Oreochromis niloticus: one gene and its partner. The protein of the gene in region 2 interacts with the protein of the main gene of each other region in a pairwise test. Links are inferred from orthologs where the notes say so. Each region holds a gene or a part of one and is shown on either strand. Other genes may lie near its edges.

Region 1 (7,837 bases), on a different chromosome or scaffold from region 2:
CCTGGCAAGCTAGCAGTCAGTGGTGGATGAAATGAAGCAAGAAGGAAGCAAGAAAGAGAGCTTCTCAAAACTCCCAAGGTTAAAAAAACAAATAAACCAATTCTGACAGGACCTCACTGACCTGTGAGCGTGTTTAGGATTGTGACTGACTGACTGTCTAGTTCAGGAACCAAGTTCAGACTTTAGCAAGAACATTAATCTTGTTAAAACCGGAAAAATACCAAAACACAAAATATGAGGGTAAGGCAGAGGGTGCATTAGGAGATAATGTAGTTTAGTCTACTGGCAGTAAACTGCAATTGTTGTACTGCTGTTGAGATTACAATAAAAAAGAGCAATGACTTCTATACTGCATAAGGTGCAATTTAAAAACAGCAAAATTAAGTTTCTCACTCAAGTGATTTATGGCAGAACCATTTTCTACAATTATTTCTATAGTATTATTCTCACTTGGCAGATGAATGCACTCATTATTTTTAATATGTTCATTTCAGCCAAGAGCATATTTTAAATTCTGCTATAATGCCAGAGACAAGGGTGTCATTTTCCAGTTCAACTATTATTAAAAACACTATAAAAAATTATTTGCCAACTACACATTTAGTCAATCAACATCATCACAACAACTAACTAAAATGATTACGTTCAAAACTCTTGATTCATTAACCAAAATTTGAATGCTTATTAACATTGAAATCATGCAAGTGATCTGCAGTAAGATCCAACTCCCTGTGTTGGAGGTATGCTGCCATCTAGCAAAGGTAACTGCTCTGTAAATAAGTCTCCTTTAAAGTGGACCTATTACACTATTCCTTTTACTCGACTACAGTCTACTACACTAGCTTTGCATGATTCACAATTGAAAATAATCCACATTTATCTCTTGCTGGTGCAGCTCAATTCATCTTAAAACTGTTTTAGCTCCACTCATATTAGGCCAACTGTCTGCCAGCCAGCCCCTGGCAAACAGAAGGTGTGAACAGCAGGTGGGTGGGGTTTCAGTCAGAACTGTGTACCTAAGATGACAATATTAGGGATATTTGCTCTCAGTGACATCATACTGGGCCAAGAGAAAAACAAACTGCCTAAGTTTTAAACACTCTGAATAAGCCTCTGTGAATACACTGGGCATTTTCTGATGAACAGAAAGACCTCTGCCAAAGTCGCCCTCTTGTCGTGTATCTGCTTATACTTGTAAGGAGTCACACCTACGTCATCTTATTAGATCGATCTACATAGTAAAATACATTAAATATAACAGTGGTATACATGTAGGTTATGATAGATGTATGGCTAATAAAAGTACTCTTAAGAGTTACCTGGTGGGACTGGATTTTTTCAAACCAGACTACCATCTAACAATAATTAGCCTAACTTTTCTCATTGCTGTTTGACAGTAAAACTTATCATTCAAGCTACAGCACCATTCAAATATTCGGACACACCCACCCATTTATATGGTTCTGTACTTGCTAACAATATGATTACAACTATTAAAAGAATGGTTTCTGTCTCGTGCCACACCTAGCTAAAAGCCAAAGTACAACTGACAGTGCCAACTTCAACTTTCCTACATTCAAAGGAAAAGCCTCTTGATTTGGGAAAGTATACAAGTATTGAACACAGCATGAGAAGTCTATGATTTACATGGCAACCGCTGAGCTTAATGAGGGTCTGTGGCCTGAATCAAGATTAATTTCAATTACTAATTACCCTGATTATACAGCATACTCACAGCATTCATGTACCTCGCATTAATGTGGCCACAACAAAACTATTAGTTTTAAAAAGACATCTGTCAGAACTTTACTTGCGATACATGTCATCCTATATTTATCCCACAACAAACCTGACAGCTGTACAATAAATAAATAATAAATGTATCATTTTATTTAGATCCTTCACCATAAGTCATTTTATTCTTGTGTCCTTGAATTGACCAATATTCAAATGTAAGTAATTATTGCTAATTAGCGTGTTATCCCATTGTACTGCTTATGTTATCTCCCCCACCCCACCCCAGTGATACACGCAGGTCACGGGATCGGATTTATGATCTACTTGTTGACTGACCCCAAAATCTCTGCAGTCTTGACAAAACAAGAAAACACCTGGCAGCTACGGGCACAATAAAGGTTAGCCAAACCATCACCCCTGTGTGCTACTCTGAATTAACTTACTTTGACCAAAGCAAAAAACAAAAAACAGCCAACCCATGATTGATTCTGATGTTTGTGAGTCTGCAACCAATCCTTGCACATCACTTTAGGGGTACCATCGTATAGCAGTCACATCAGCGTTACCGATACCGCTTAAACAGCTACCCTGGTTAAGCGTCATGATCACCAATAGTTCACCAATTTATCCACTACCGCTGATGTTAGAGCCCCACCGCAGCGTTAGCTTTGTTTACACGTTTCAGGTCCCGGTAGACGTTGAGCAGAAGCACCGAGGCCCACATATAACACTAAGCTAGCCCCGTGACACAAATTCATGTTAGTTAGGCTTACTTGGTACATAGTGTGTGAACGGTGGTCACAAAACTCGACAAAAGTCAACAACTTACCTTATAAAAAGCCCCACTTGTCCCTCTTACTTCCACGACTAGTTCCTCCATGACGTAAGTTACTACAGCTCGCTAGCTAGCTAACTACCGATAGCGATGTTAGTAGCTAGCTAGCTAGCTGGCTAGCCTGACGCTAGCCAAGGCAGAGTCGCTAGCTAGCCTAAATACCCTGCCTACTGGATGCAAGAAGAGGCCACAGTAGCTGTGTGTGACCGTAATATTGTTTTCCGCTTTGCACCGTCTATGAAATTTGTTTCTTGCAAATTTGCAAATCCGACTTCATGAAGAAGACGAAGCAATTAGCTAGCCAGGTTAGCTTTTAGTAGCTAGTTATGTTAATGTTGTGTGATTAGTGGTGTAGCAGCTACTGCTGTTGTATCTCTCCATGTGACGTCTCCGCTTTCTTCCTCTACTGAAAACTGAGGCTGCTTACTCTCATCCGAGCCTGTTGCTGCTCTCCACGGGTAATAAATAGGAATGCCATTTGATATAGCAGGAAATATATCAAAATAAAAATGACCACTGTGTTTATCCTGTGGTGTACCATATTTGAGCTCTAAGAACAAATGAAAAAATATATTTTCCCAACAGCACGGCCAACCAGTCCCTCCGGGAAAACAGCAAATTTATCCCTCTCCATATTTATCAAGCCACATTTCAACTATTCCACCTTGCTCTTTTTCCTCACTTGTTTTTACAATGTGCATTCACAAACACAATACTTATCTTTAACTAACTACTGAAATCTGTTGCAAAGAACTTTGGCTCCTCATGTGTTGTTTATTTGATGTTTATTGTACACGGTACTATTTTTATTCTTTATCACAAGGTTGTAACAATAATTTCCCCCATGGGATCAATAAAGTATCTATATATCTATCTAATATAATAACACATTAAAATGAGAGATTTCAGAACCTAGGACAGCAACCAAGGTGTTCTCATTAAATGTTCCACTAATATCTAATGAATCTAATCTAATGTAATATACAATATATATTTAGACTCAGACTTACTCATTACTGCCTGTTGTTTCTGAGGACTGTCTCTTGAAAGCTGACATGCCAAACCACGTCATCCACTCCAAAATAGTTTTGCCTGGAAACCGAAAACATAACTATAATAACTATGTTTTAAAGTCAGGGCACATGCCTTTTTATGCTTAAAGACGTTTGTTACATTTAACAGCAAGGCATGGCATGGATAAATGTACAGATTTTAATACAGAGGCCTGCAGATTCAGTGTTAAGGATCAGTTAAAACCTCATGTTTTTCCTCTATAAACCTCTCATTCTCTCAACACTCAGCAGCACTCATCTGCTACATCTATTTATGGACATATGACCTTCTTGAGAATTATACTTTGTAGGCAAAAACAAGGAACTGCAACAGGCCACATGTTAAGAGAGGGAGAGAAAAAGAAGGGAAAGATGCAGACAGACTACAGACAGGTAAATGAAGAAGTGCTGACAGTGACATATGAGAGGACCATAGAGTGACTTACAGGGATAATCTATAGTGAGATTAAGACAGAAATAGAATGAGAGTGCGGCAGAAACAGGGTCATACATGAAGGGTGAAATAAGATACAGGACAAAGAGCAAGAGAACGGATAAACAGACGGGAAATTCTGAGTTCTGCGTGCGAGGGAAACACTGAATACTGAACACACCATGCTGTTGGCACAGGCACATAAGCTAAACTCTACAAAGTAATAGGACGACAACTTCCTTGCAAAGGAAACAGACTGGCAGCACTTTGCAATCAGTCGGAGTCAGTTTGGACTGATGACTGTAAACTGCCTGTGATGCAGCTCAGCTAACATGGTTGTATTCTGGTTATATTTGTGTGCAAAAGCATGGCTGCCAAGCACTCCTGTCATTTTGCATTTAAATATCTGTCTTGCAGCAACTACGTCACTTTTTGCAGATGAATTTTTGAACTTAGGTCTCAAAAATGAAGGTCTGACTGGACTCGCTGAGAGTTCATCAAATTATTACTGAAAATAGACTGATAAGAGACTGACTCTATCTTATTGCCTTTTCATCATGGTCTTGATGCACCTAAGGTTGCAGCTGACTGCGAGTGTTTGCATATCTGATCACTGTTTTTAAAGCAACCAATTCAAGGGCAGTGATACGAAAAAGGTTCAGAGTCAAGCGATGCTTCTTCAGCAGTTTTATCGTAAGTTTCTTTGTGAGATTGTAACAATAACAGTGTTACATATGAAACATATGTACAGAAGAGGAGAATCACACACAGTCCAAAAGCAGAGTAAACTGACAGGCAAAAACAAAAGTCACCACAGATTTACAGGATCTAACAAAATTACAATACCATAAAATCAGCCAACACGACTCTTCAGGCTTTTTCAAAAAGAGCGATTCAGTATTCTGGGTTTTAGTCTTTATAGTATTGATTAAATGGGGCGCAGTGCGTTCAAATCCCTGTCAGCAACGTCCATCAGTCTGAAGAGTCATCAAACAAGGAACGCTGACTTCTGTTAACTTACACTGAGCTCCAGTGGGTGTAAAGAAATTGAATTAGCCCTGTCCAGGGTGTACCTCTCCTCTTGCCCTATTGCAAATGGGATAGGCTACAGCCACCACACTGTGTGGAATGACAGAAGAACAGATGGAAGAAACATGGATTTGAGTCCTCAGGTCTGATTCGAGCCTGTGTCACTCAAAGATGCTGTAAATCAGCAGTTCCCATCCCCCGGGCCACGGAGCGGAGTTGTTTGTTACCCGGCCGCGAGAGTTGAGGCTCGGGTGTGAAATGTATGGTTTTCAGGGTTTTTATCGTTTATTATCGTTAACTCAGTTTCCCTGGGTCTTGTTGCGTGTGTTATGAATAAAGCTTCTTTTTTTTTGGTACCGGCACTGGTTTTATTTTGTTGTATTTATCTGTGACACCTTAAAGACCGGTCCGTGAAAATATTGTCAAACAACCGTCCGCGGCCCAAAAAAAGGTTGGGGACTGCTGCTGTAGATAGTACCAAAGACAAACACTGTTTTAGATAATAAAGCGAAATAACAATTTGTATTATTGTATAAAACCAGAGACATCCTAAATATTGTGGTGTTATCATTTTTAACAGAGTAAAAATCGTTAAAATGTTCTTTAAATTAGTGAGAGTTTAGCTAATAATGAGCTGGCTAGCTAGCAAATAAGCTAGCAAATAAACTAGCGCTTTGATTTAAGCTACCACGGGCTAAGTTGTGTTAGCACTGCAAGTAGGTAATGTATAAAACCAATATCCTGATACTCTGTAGGACTGCAGCTAACTTTACTTTAATTCTTAAGCGAAGAAAGACCACATTCATCTGAACATTGACTGTAATGCTAAAGCTAATACACGTGCTTAAGGATTTAAAGATACCAAAAACATGTTTTCTAAAAAAAAAAGAAAAAAAGAACCTAATTCACTTAAAACAGTAAATCAAATAATGAACTGTGATGTCTAACTTGTTTAATTTTGGCTTGTTCAAGTTGCTCATCGACGTTTGTGTGTTCTTAGAATGATATATGCTTCAAAGTGTATTTGATATTTATTATTTTCCACATACAGACGTTTTGCAGATAAACAATAATACCAGACTAAATATCAAAATGCCAAGGCAACCCTTTAAGAGCAAACATGGGTTATTAAAAATGACACAAATCAACTGCAAAAAAGTACAAATATATTAGAAAACACACTGGAGATATAGAGAAAAGAGAAGGCAAGCATATATTTGCAACTCTTCGACCTGGAAAAATGCACATTTTGCAGTTTTAAATGGTTAAAACTGAACTTTTGTTAAGCGATGTTACATTTTCTAGTAAATGACATAAACTGCTGAATAATTTCATAAACAGTGATATATATGTTTGGTTGATGACAGTGAAAACAACTGAACTATAGCTTCATTTTCTTTTCTATTCATTTGAAACCATGTTAGTTGCCGCTTTATTCAAATCTGCTAACAGAAATGCAGACACATTTTTCTTTTTTCCACAGTGTTTTTCTGCTCATTAGTCTTGTTCAGTCATCCCACTTGTATGACACTGACTAAATTAGCATTCTTACAATAACCCACTGATGGACAAAGCTGTTGATGTTAATGTATTAAAATTTAAAGGATGAACAATTCCTTTTACATTTTATGTCCTGGGATACCGCTCCATCAGTCCTGAACGTAGTGGTTTCCCCAGCTGTGGTTGAGGCGCACCTGTGGATGCCATTTATGGAGATTAAAAACAAATAAACAAACAAACAAAAGAAGTCACAGATTAGCCCATATAAGGAGAATGAACAGAGCTCTTCCTGATATTTTACAGTAATGTCATTTGATTCACTGTTCTGTTCGATCCTGCTGTTAGAACTGTGCAAAAGTCTCGAGCCGGCCCTCATTTCTTTATATTTTGGTAGGAAAATGGAAAATGGGTGTAGCAATTTGAAAGGTGCACACATACACAGAAATACATTAACTAAGATGATCCCACACTGCTTCAGGAAGGTTGAAGTCTGGGCTCTTGGGAGGCCAATCCACGAATGTGTGTTTTTCTAATCAATTCTAATTTCTAATTTTATGGCATTGATAGTGTGTTTTGGATCATTGTCATGCTCAAAAATGAAATTGCCAAGCAGAGCTTTCCAGATGGTATTGCACAGTGGGCCCATTTCTCCTGGCCTCCGCTGTGCCTGCTGACAATGAGTTACACCAAAAATGTTACATTTGGATTCATCGGTCAATAAGACCTGTCTCTACTGATTTTTATCACAGCTTTTGTGTAATTTGGCACATTTTAGTCCCTGTTTCCTTTCTTTAGGAAGCTTCTTGACATCTGCCTTTCCACTGAAACCATTTCTGATGAGGCTTTGGCAAACAGTCGGTGGATCAACTGAAAATCCTGTGTCGGGTCTTTGGTTGATTTTGCCTATTTCTTAAGGAAATGACTTTCAGATATCTGCAGTAGAGCTTTTAAGACCTGCCTCCATTCGTCCATTTGCCTCATATTTTTTTAAGGGCAGACTGCACACCATGCCGAAATAGCACTTTAAGAATCACCTTGTGGCGGAAAAATACCATTTTATTGCTATGAAATGACTAGGACTATTTCATAACTATTTGTGGCTGAAGACTTTTGCACCGTTCGTAAACCTGTATGAAAGATCGCCAAACCATGGCACACCTCAGGCAGAAGCCCTCTGGATTTGCACAGTGTTCAGATTCAGCCTGTGAATAATTTAATCAGGACATCAGACTGTCAGCTTGGAGGGAACGC
Region 2 (7,541 bases):
CTGGTTTATACCCTGCGGTGTGAAGGCACTGTCTGCTGGTGTGTCCTCCAGCACCGGCCTGTAGTAAAGCTCGTAGTACTCCACCGTGTCATCAGAGAACAAGCTCCAGCACACACGCAGGGATGTCTGAGTGGCAGAGTTGGGCATCTGGGGATTGATTACTGGGGCAGATGGAGCTGGGGGTTGTTTGACAGAGATTCACTGTAAATTCAGCACAGTTATCAAGAAGTCTTTTTAGAGTACAAAAATCTAAATGTTAAGACAGCTCTGTTCTGGTTGAAGCTCAACACTGACACCTCTGTGTGCTTCCTATTATTAGGATTCTCATTTTCAGTGACGCAAGAGACGGCGTGTTCCTAGATTTGTATTTTTCAAGTGACAGAGGAGGTGGCGGAAAGTGAACCAGAGGAGGCGATTTGTAGATTCAGACCTGGAACGACGTTGATCGAGTCCATCATGGTTTTGACATCTGACAGGTCAGCGAGCGGTGTGTTGAATTCAAGACTTGTAGACAGCGTGAGGTCAACCTCATCTTTGGCAAACTCCTCGATTCTAGTGTGGTACAGAACAAAAAAAAAGCCCTGATTTTAAAAAGCGTGCAGTGCGTTATCAGGCTAATGATTACTTACAATGTTCAAAGTTTGACCATAAAATAAATACTTTACGTGCTTTTCATCAAGCATGCAAGCATGTTTTGTACAGTGGATGGAGTTTGGGTCTGTGGGTTGTGCCCATGAATGAACATGAATGATTGAAGTCTGAAGAAATAAGACATATTGTCAGTTTAACAGCATTTGTCGCAAGTCAGCCAACACAACCATATTGAGATGCCATCCCACAGCAGTGTGTGACCAAGCTGGTGACCAGCATGAGGAGGAGGTGCCAGGCTGTTGTGGCTGTGTGTGGATCTTCCACGTGCTACTCAGGGCCCTGTTTGTTAAATGAATAAATTGTTTCTTCAGACTTTAATCATCCAGTGCAATAAACTACACCAAACAAGAGTCAGTGGCAGAATAAGCTGACTGGTATTGGCAGAGGAAATTTGGCAAGTGTTTCAAAGGCGCAACCCACATACTCAACTCTGCTGCTCAGCCCACAAATGCATTTTCCCTAATAAATGTGGCTACATTTAAGGGGAAATAAACAGGCTTTCCGACGTATAAGATTTATTGGCAGGAAGCAACCTTACAAAAAAAAGAATTGTTGACCAAATACAAATTTCCTTACTTTTTGTGCTAAGTTTAGTAAGTGGATCTTCAGCTGGGATTTTAAAATATATAGAGTTAAATAAAATTAGTTTGAAACTAAAGGGAAGACAAATCGCACATGTTATTGATGCTCGGTCTCTTAATATCACACCTGCAGTGTCACACCGTGCAGACTCACTGTGCAGCCTCATGCTTACCTTTTAATTGTGGGCATAACTGTCTGTCAATAAAATCCAAAGAAATCACTTCAATAGCAAAATAAATGAATGAATAAATGCTAATCAATGCTTCATGTCCACAATTGCATTAGCTGGCCATGTTTTATTTATTTATTTATTTTTGGGGCCATCTGCAAATATGATCCAGTGGAATCATTTATCACCTTCAAGAAAAGCCTCTTGTCCTGGCTGCGGTAGACCTCCTGCGCTGTCTCGATGAGCTCCTTGGAGGCATCGAGTGCCCGACCGCAGGCCAGCAGCTGACCGTACAAGGCTTCCAGCTTACTCTTCTTCTCCTCCTCCAACCTTGCCGCGCTCTCATCCTGTCGCTGAGACAGCGTCTGCAGCACATCATTGTAGTGCTGTTCCAAGTGCTGCTCTTGACGGCCAAAATTCTCCTGTACGTGCAATAATATGACAGAGTTAGAGGGTAACACATTTGTTGTACAGGAAAGAACAAAGAAAAATGAAGAATTTGATGTAATAAAATTGGCTTGTGATGACTTTATTACTGTCTATGAGTAAAAAAAGAAAAAAAAGCATCTCTGCATATTCATATTATAATAAAACAGTAAAATTATGTCAAAACAAAGGAGATCAGACTGGACGTTTGAGTAGTACCTCCACTGTAAGGAAGATCTCTTCCAGATGACCAGCAAAGCTCTCCATCTCTGCAACCTTCTCTTGCAGCTGATCGCGAATCAAGATGATCTCCCCCTGAAAGCAGTCATAACACAAGCTTGAGCTCTTTCCGCATTTAATTCAAACCTGCAACACAGACTACGATGAGGGCTAACAGTTAAGAGTTTATGTTGCTGTTTACTATGAGTGTATCTTAATCAGATGTTCCCCTCACTCGGCTATTCATTTTACTCTTCTGTATTGTGCTACCATTCACACTGGCGTTCTCTCAGAGAAGTGATTAAATGCAGTGAGACGACTGTGGCTGAATAGAGGTAGTTAGTTAGTGTCCTCACCTCAGTTTCTCCCTCCTTAAAAGCATCCTCCTCACCATCACTTCCATCTTCTGCTCCAGTGGGAGATGGAGTTGAGCCTACATTGTAGGTCTCCATAGCAGTAGACTCTCTGCTTAACTCCTGGAGCTCGGCTTCCTCTGCAATCACACCCAGCCTGCCTCCTCTGATCTCATACAAGTCCATGATGACAAGGACTCAGGGGAGGACTGAGGCTTAAGTACCCGTTAATGTTCTGAAACTGCATCGGAGGAGAATTTAACAAAGCAGAACTGTTATAGTGAGCAAGCAGCTGATAACAAATTTACCTGGAAAATTAAGGGAGCTGTTTGGTTCTTAAACAACCTTTTCAGGCCAGCAGCAGTATCCGGCAGGACAGCAGTGACAGAAATAGATGGGACTGTGTTTGCTCACATTTCACAGGCATGCCAAACATCTACGCCGGAAGTTCGTTATTCATGAAATAGATTCATTAAACGTGATTGAAAGTCCGCAGAGGTCTGAGATTTGCTGACATTGTAAAGGAACAACAACTAAAAGTAAAATGCTTTAATTTTCAGGAGTTGGAAATCCCCGAACATGTGATTAAAAGGTCAAAGTTAAAGGCAGTACCAGAGACTTATGGTGCATTCAAGGTTCCTCGTAAACTTTAATTCAAGACGCATCAAACGCATTGGATTAGAAATTTCTGCATTGGGACCCGCCTGCTCTTAGTGACCCAGGCTGGGTTTTTCGTGGTTACCATTCTATGTCAAAACAGCGTATTCTTTAAAGGGTAGATATCTGTGTTAGTAAAACCGTTAGCTCATATTGACCGATAACTTCCGGGGCTGTTGAACGCAACTGACGTCAGACAAATGGCGGACGTTGTAAACAGAGCCAGCAGCTTCTCGGGGGCCAGAGTGAAACATCTCTTTTTAAGATGAACAGCATAGAGTGTGAGCGACTAGACAGTCTGGAGGGGTGGGTGGCCGTTAAAAGCAACATATTTGAGGAAGATGAGGCGTTTAAACTGGGCTTCATCGTACAGTGGAACGTCATCGAGTGCAAGTTCGCCGTCACCTGCCACAACCGGACGTTACAGCGGCAGAAGCGCAAATCCGAGCCTGCCGCCGACGACCCTCAGATGAGCTGGGCAGGACTCTTCTCCGTCAGCGATCTGAAGCACGTCCACCAGCAGTTCACCTGCGTGGCCGACGTCCTGGGAGGCTGCTTCCCGGATTTGACGGAGTTTGAAGAGGGTAACATTTGGGACTTGCTTTTCCTGAGTAGGAGATCAGGTCCAGACAATGACGACGAGAGGGACTATGACACCCCGTGTAGGAAACTCGAGAAGTATTTCAGCACCGCTATTGACCTCTGCGGACGGAAGATTGTTCTCGACACCTTGTTCGCACAGGATGACCGAGATGTTGAGGAGTACTTTGAGAATTTACAGGAGTTCAAAAAGAAGAGCTTGCAGGAGGAGATGTCAAGGGCCAAGGGTCACCTGAGACAGGTGAGGCGTAGAGGTGGGCGGATTGATCTAATATCGATACCAGCGCGATAGGCCTGAGACTTTTTCTGTTCCCTAAGTGCAGTATGTTGCCTACTGGATTGTGTTAAATAAATGTGTTTTAGAGGCAGGCACATTTACATTCCAGGTCTCCAGAAAATCAGTTTCCAAACACGTTGTGTTAACTAATTAATGTGGAAAGCAGAAATCACAGTGATTTAGTGGTCATTAAAATGTGTTCAGAATGTGTAAATTAATGATGAATCAATCAGTAATCATGGCACACTGCTCTCCCCTTTGTAATCTACATTTTATAGGGTAAAAGTATTGGCATTGGTATCGGCAACACTGGCCCTGTATCTGCTTGGTGCCCCACCTCTGATAGGAGAAGTCTTACAACACCTTAGATGCACTTAAAAACATGATTCCCTGAAGTATGAGAAAAGACTGCATGCTCTCTAATCCCAAGAAGTTTAAAGGTCTAGTCTGCCATATTAGCACCTCTCAGTTGTGGTGTGGGCCTAAATCAGGTCTACCATGACACAGCAAACCACAGCTGCTGTTCCAGCCAAGGCTCTAGATGTTGCAACAACACCAGCACTGGTCTTTGTTTGCTCTTGTTTGCTGCTTTAACCTGCAACCTGACCCTTTAGCTCTGTTTAGTTTGTTTCACATGCAAATGGAAGTAAAAGCAGTAAAATGACAGCCAATAGACCAATGAGGCATTTGAAGAGCAAAATACGTCAGCTGGACATTGAAGCAGAAATCTAGTTCCATTTGAGATCCACTGGAGATCGCTGGAATGCATGCCTCCAAGCTTATCATGTCCTTTTATCAAAATAATGTGGTCTGAGTTATGGTAGTTGAGTTTTTACATGCCCACACTGTACCTGTTTCCACAGGCATCATGATGTAGCTCGCTGAGCTGAAAATGTGCTTGTTGTGCTGGTTTGTTTCCTTACACAGATGTAAGGTTCTGATCAAGAATTGGTAACAGAAACAATGAGCAAGTGGACCTGTAAGAAAAACTGTTGATGGCACCGCTACAAGTAGATTAAATGTATCAGAATCTGTACTCAGTGTCGGTATTATGTCTACATAAACCACTGTTACGGATCTGCTGTATATGATACCTTTATGAAATCATATCCAGCTTTTGCTTATGCTGTCTCAGATGCAGGCTTGTGTTGCTGTGTTGATTGTTTTTGATATCTAAAGCAAACATGTTCCCTTTGTATGCTGGAAGATGTCAGGGCATAGATAACTCTTGATTTTCCAACTATTTACATATTTTGAATCCAAGCGATTTAACATTTTCTTAACCAAAAAGACGTCTCAGTTCCAAATATTTCATCACTATTTTCATCACTCTCACATAAAATGTTTTTTAAGACCTGAATTTGTTTGACTTCAGTGGTCAACATCGGAGAACCGGGTCCAAGAATCCCTGTGGTGTTCAACCACCAACCTCATCTTGAAGTGTCTTCACAAGTCTACCTTCAGCCCACCCAAGTTGTATTCTGAAAGGCCTAGTTATCGACTCTTATGTTAGCCGGCACGGATTGGATTGGTTCATTCTGAGTATGAAAAGTCATACAGAGCAAAACTAAGCTGTGGGCTCAGGGTAAACCCGGATCATGGTGTTTATGTTTTTTCATCTTCACAGCTGCTACAAAGTCACAGCGGTGCTGACAGGATGGTCGTGCTGCTCAGCATCTATGAGGAAGAAGACGAGGCCTACCAGGACCTGGCGACTGTCGCCACAACTTTCTTCCAGTACCTGCTGCAGCCTTTCAGGGACATGAGAGAGCTGGCCTGCCTTTACAAGATGGACATCCTTGTAAATACACACGTTGTTAGAATGTTGTACACGATAACATGCAGGGGATGCACTTAGTGTTGATATCAGAAAGTTAAGATTTTGATGAAAATGAAAAGGGAGGATTATGGTACATGTTTAATGTAAAGTGTTCTTTGACAGTGGAAAAAATGCTTTAAAGTGTTTTTTTACTATACTGTGCAAAAGTCTTGAGCCAACCCCTCATTTCTTTATATTTTGCTAGGAAAATGTGAAATAGGTGCAGTGATTTATCAAAACAGGCAGGTTAGCACTGTTGCCGCACAGCAAGAAGGTCCTGAGTTCAATTCCACCATCAGCCCGGGGTCTTTCTGTGTGGAGTTTACATGTTCTCCCCATGTTTGCGTGGGTTTCCTTGCGTGGGATAGGTTAATTGATTAATCTAAATTGCCCATAGGTGTGAATGCAGGAGTGAATGTGAGCGCGAATGGTTGTCTGTCTCTGTGTGTTAGAGTGGCGACCTGTCCACTGACACCTGTCCCGCCCTATGACAGCTGGGATAGGCTCCAGCACCCCCCCCGCATTTGTGATTTATCAAAACATATAAACATATCTAAAAATACAGTATGTGAGGCAAAATTGACTTTCAAGCTTGTTAGAATTGTACAAAGTTTAATCAACACAGCCTGAACACTCTCGTAGTTTTTTTAAGTAGCCTTCAGGAATAGTTCTCCAGGCTTCTTGAAGGACATTGAAAACTTTTCTTTGGATGTTGGCTGCCTTTTGTTCTGTTCTCTGTCAAGCTGATCCCGCACTGCTTCAGTAAAGTTCAGGTCCAGGCTCCGGGGAGGCCAGTCTGTGACTGATGGTGTTTTATTATGGTTCTCTATCCAGGTATACTTTTACTGCACTCGCAGTGTGTTTGGGATCATTGTTATGATGAAAAAGGAAGGCGTTGCCAACTAGGCGCTTTCTTGATAACATGGACCAAAATGTGATGGTACTTTTCTGTGTTCATAATTCCATTATTTTTAACACCACCCCTGAATGAAACGTAGCCCCGAACCATGACGGAGCCTCCACCGTGTTTTACAGATGACTGTAAACACTCACCGACAGTGATTTGAACCAAAAATGTCAAATTTGGGTTCATCACTCCATAAGATCTGTTGTCAGTGATTTGTCAGTCTAGTTCTTATGTAATTTGGCACACCTCAGCCTTTTCTTCTTGTTTCCCTTTCTTAAGAATTGCTTCTTTACTTCGTTGACCAGTAGATGGATCAACTAAAACATCACAAGGATCTCTCAGGTCCTGTGTCAGGACTTTCCTGGATGTATTCCTGTTTCTTAAAGACATGACTTCCACATGCTGTTTACCTGCTGTCGACAGATTTTAGACCTGCCACTTCTTTTGTCCTCCACTTACCCAGTCTTTTAAGGACACACTGTACATGATGCTGAGCTGCTGCTAAGTCTTCAGCTAATAGCACAATGAATAAAATGTTTTTTACTAAGTTGTCTCTTCTGTGTAAACACTGGTCCATGCTTCAGTAATTCATGTGTCATTGTTAGGTGTTCTCTAAGTCTGACTCCTTGGAAGCAAAATATAAATAAATGAGAGGTGGCTCTAGACTTTTGCACAGCACTGACCTATATGTCCTTTAGTGATCACATAAAGGTCTTTTTCACTCTTAACTGGTTCATTTGTTATTGCTGAGCCACACACAGCACTCATGAATAGACTGACCTGTTGCATCACTATGTCTAATGTGGTTCTCAAACTCTGTGATGTAGGTGAAAGAACATTATTTTTTTTAAGGGAATTTTTAGCCTTTATTTTGATAGGAC

What was found.
Region 1: the proteins of fsd2 (region 2) and fmr1 interact in binary tests that used the Homo sapiens proteins (3 or more experiments, as listed by UniProt). The link is inferred for Oreochromis niloticus from reciprocal best matches to the Homo sapiens genes FSD2 and FMR1.

What each region holds. Positions count from the first base shown.
Region 1 is NC_031966.2:33,307,434-33,315,270, forward strand, and holds the start of fmr1 (fragile X messenger ribonucleoprotein 1), read right to left. Parts: upstream 3,018-7,837; 5' UTR 2,618-3,017; coding exon 2,567-2,617; intron 1-2,566. Other genes in the region: rab33a (ras-related protein Rab-33A), read right to left, coding at 6,713-6,780.
Region 2 is NC_031965.2:13,696,067-13,703,607, forward strand, and holds the start of fsd2 (fibronectin type III and SPRY domain-containing protein 2), read right to left. Parts: upstream 3,016-7,541; 5' UTR 2,709-3,015; intron 2,642-2,708; exon of another isoform or gene 2,616-2,641; 5' UTR 2,587-2,615; coding exon 2,404-2,586; intron 2,144-2,403; coding exon 2,048-2,143; intron 1,825-2,047; coding exon 1,591-1,824; intron 1,429-1,590; coding exon 1,406-1,428; intron 553-1,405; coding exon 431-552; intron 177-430; coding exon 12-176; intron 1-11. Other genes in the region: whamm (WASP homolog-associated protein with actin, membranes and microtubules), read left to right, coding at 3,323-3,898, 5,310-5,446, 5,507-5,519, 5,562-5,735.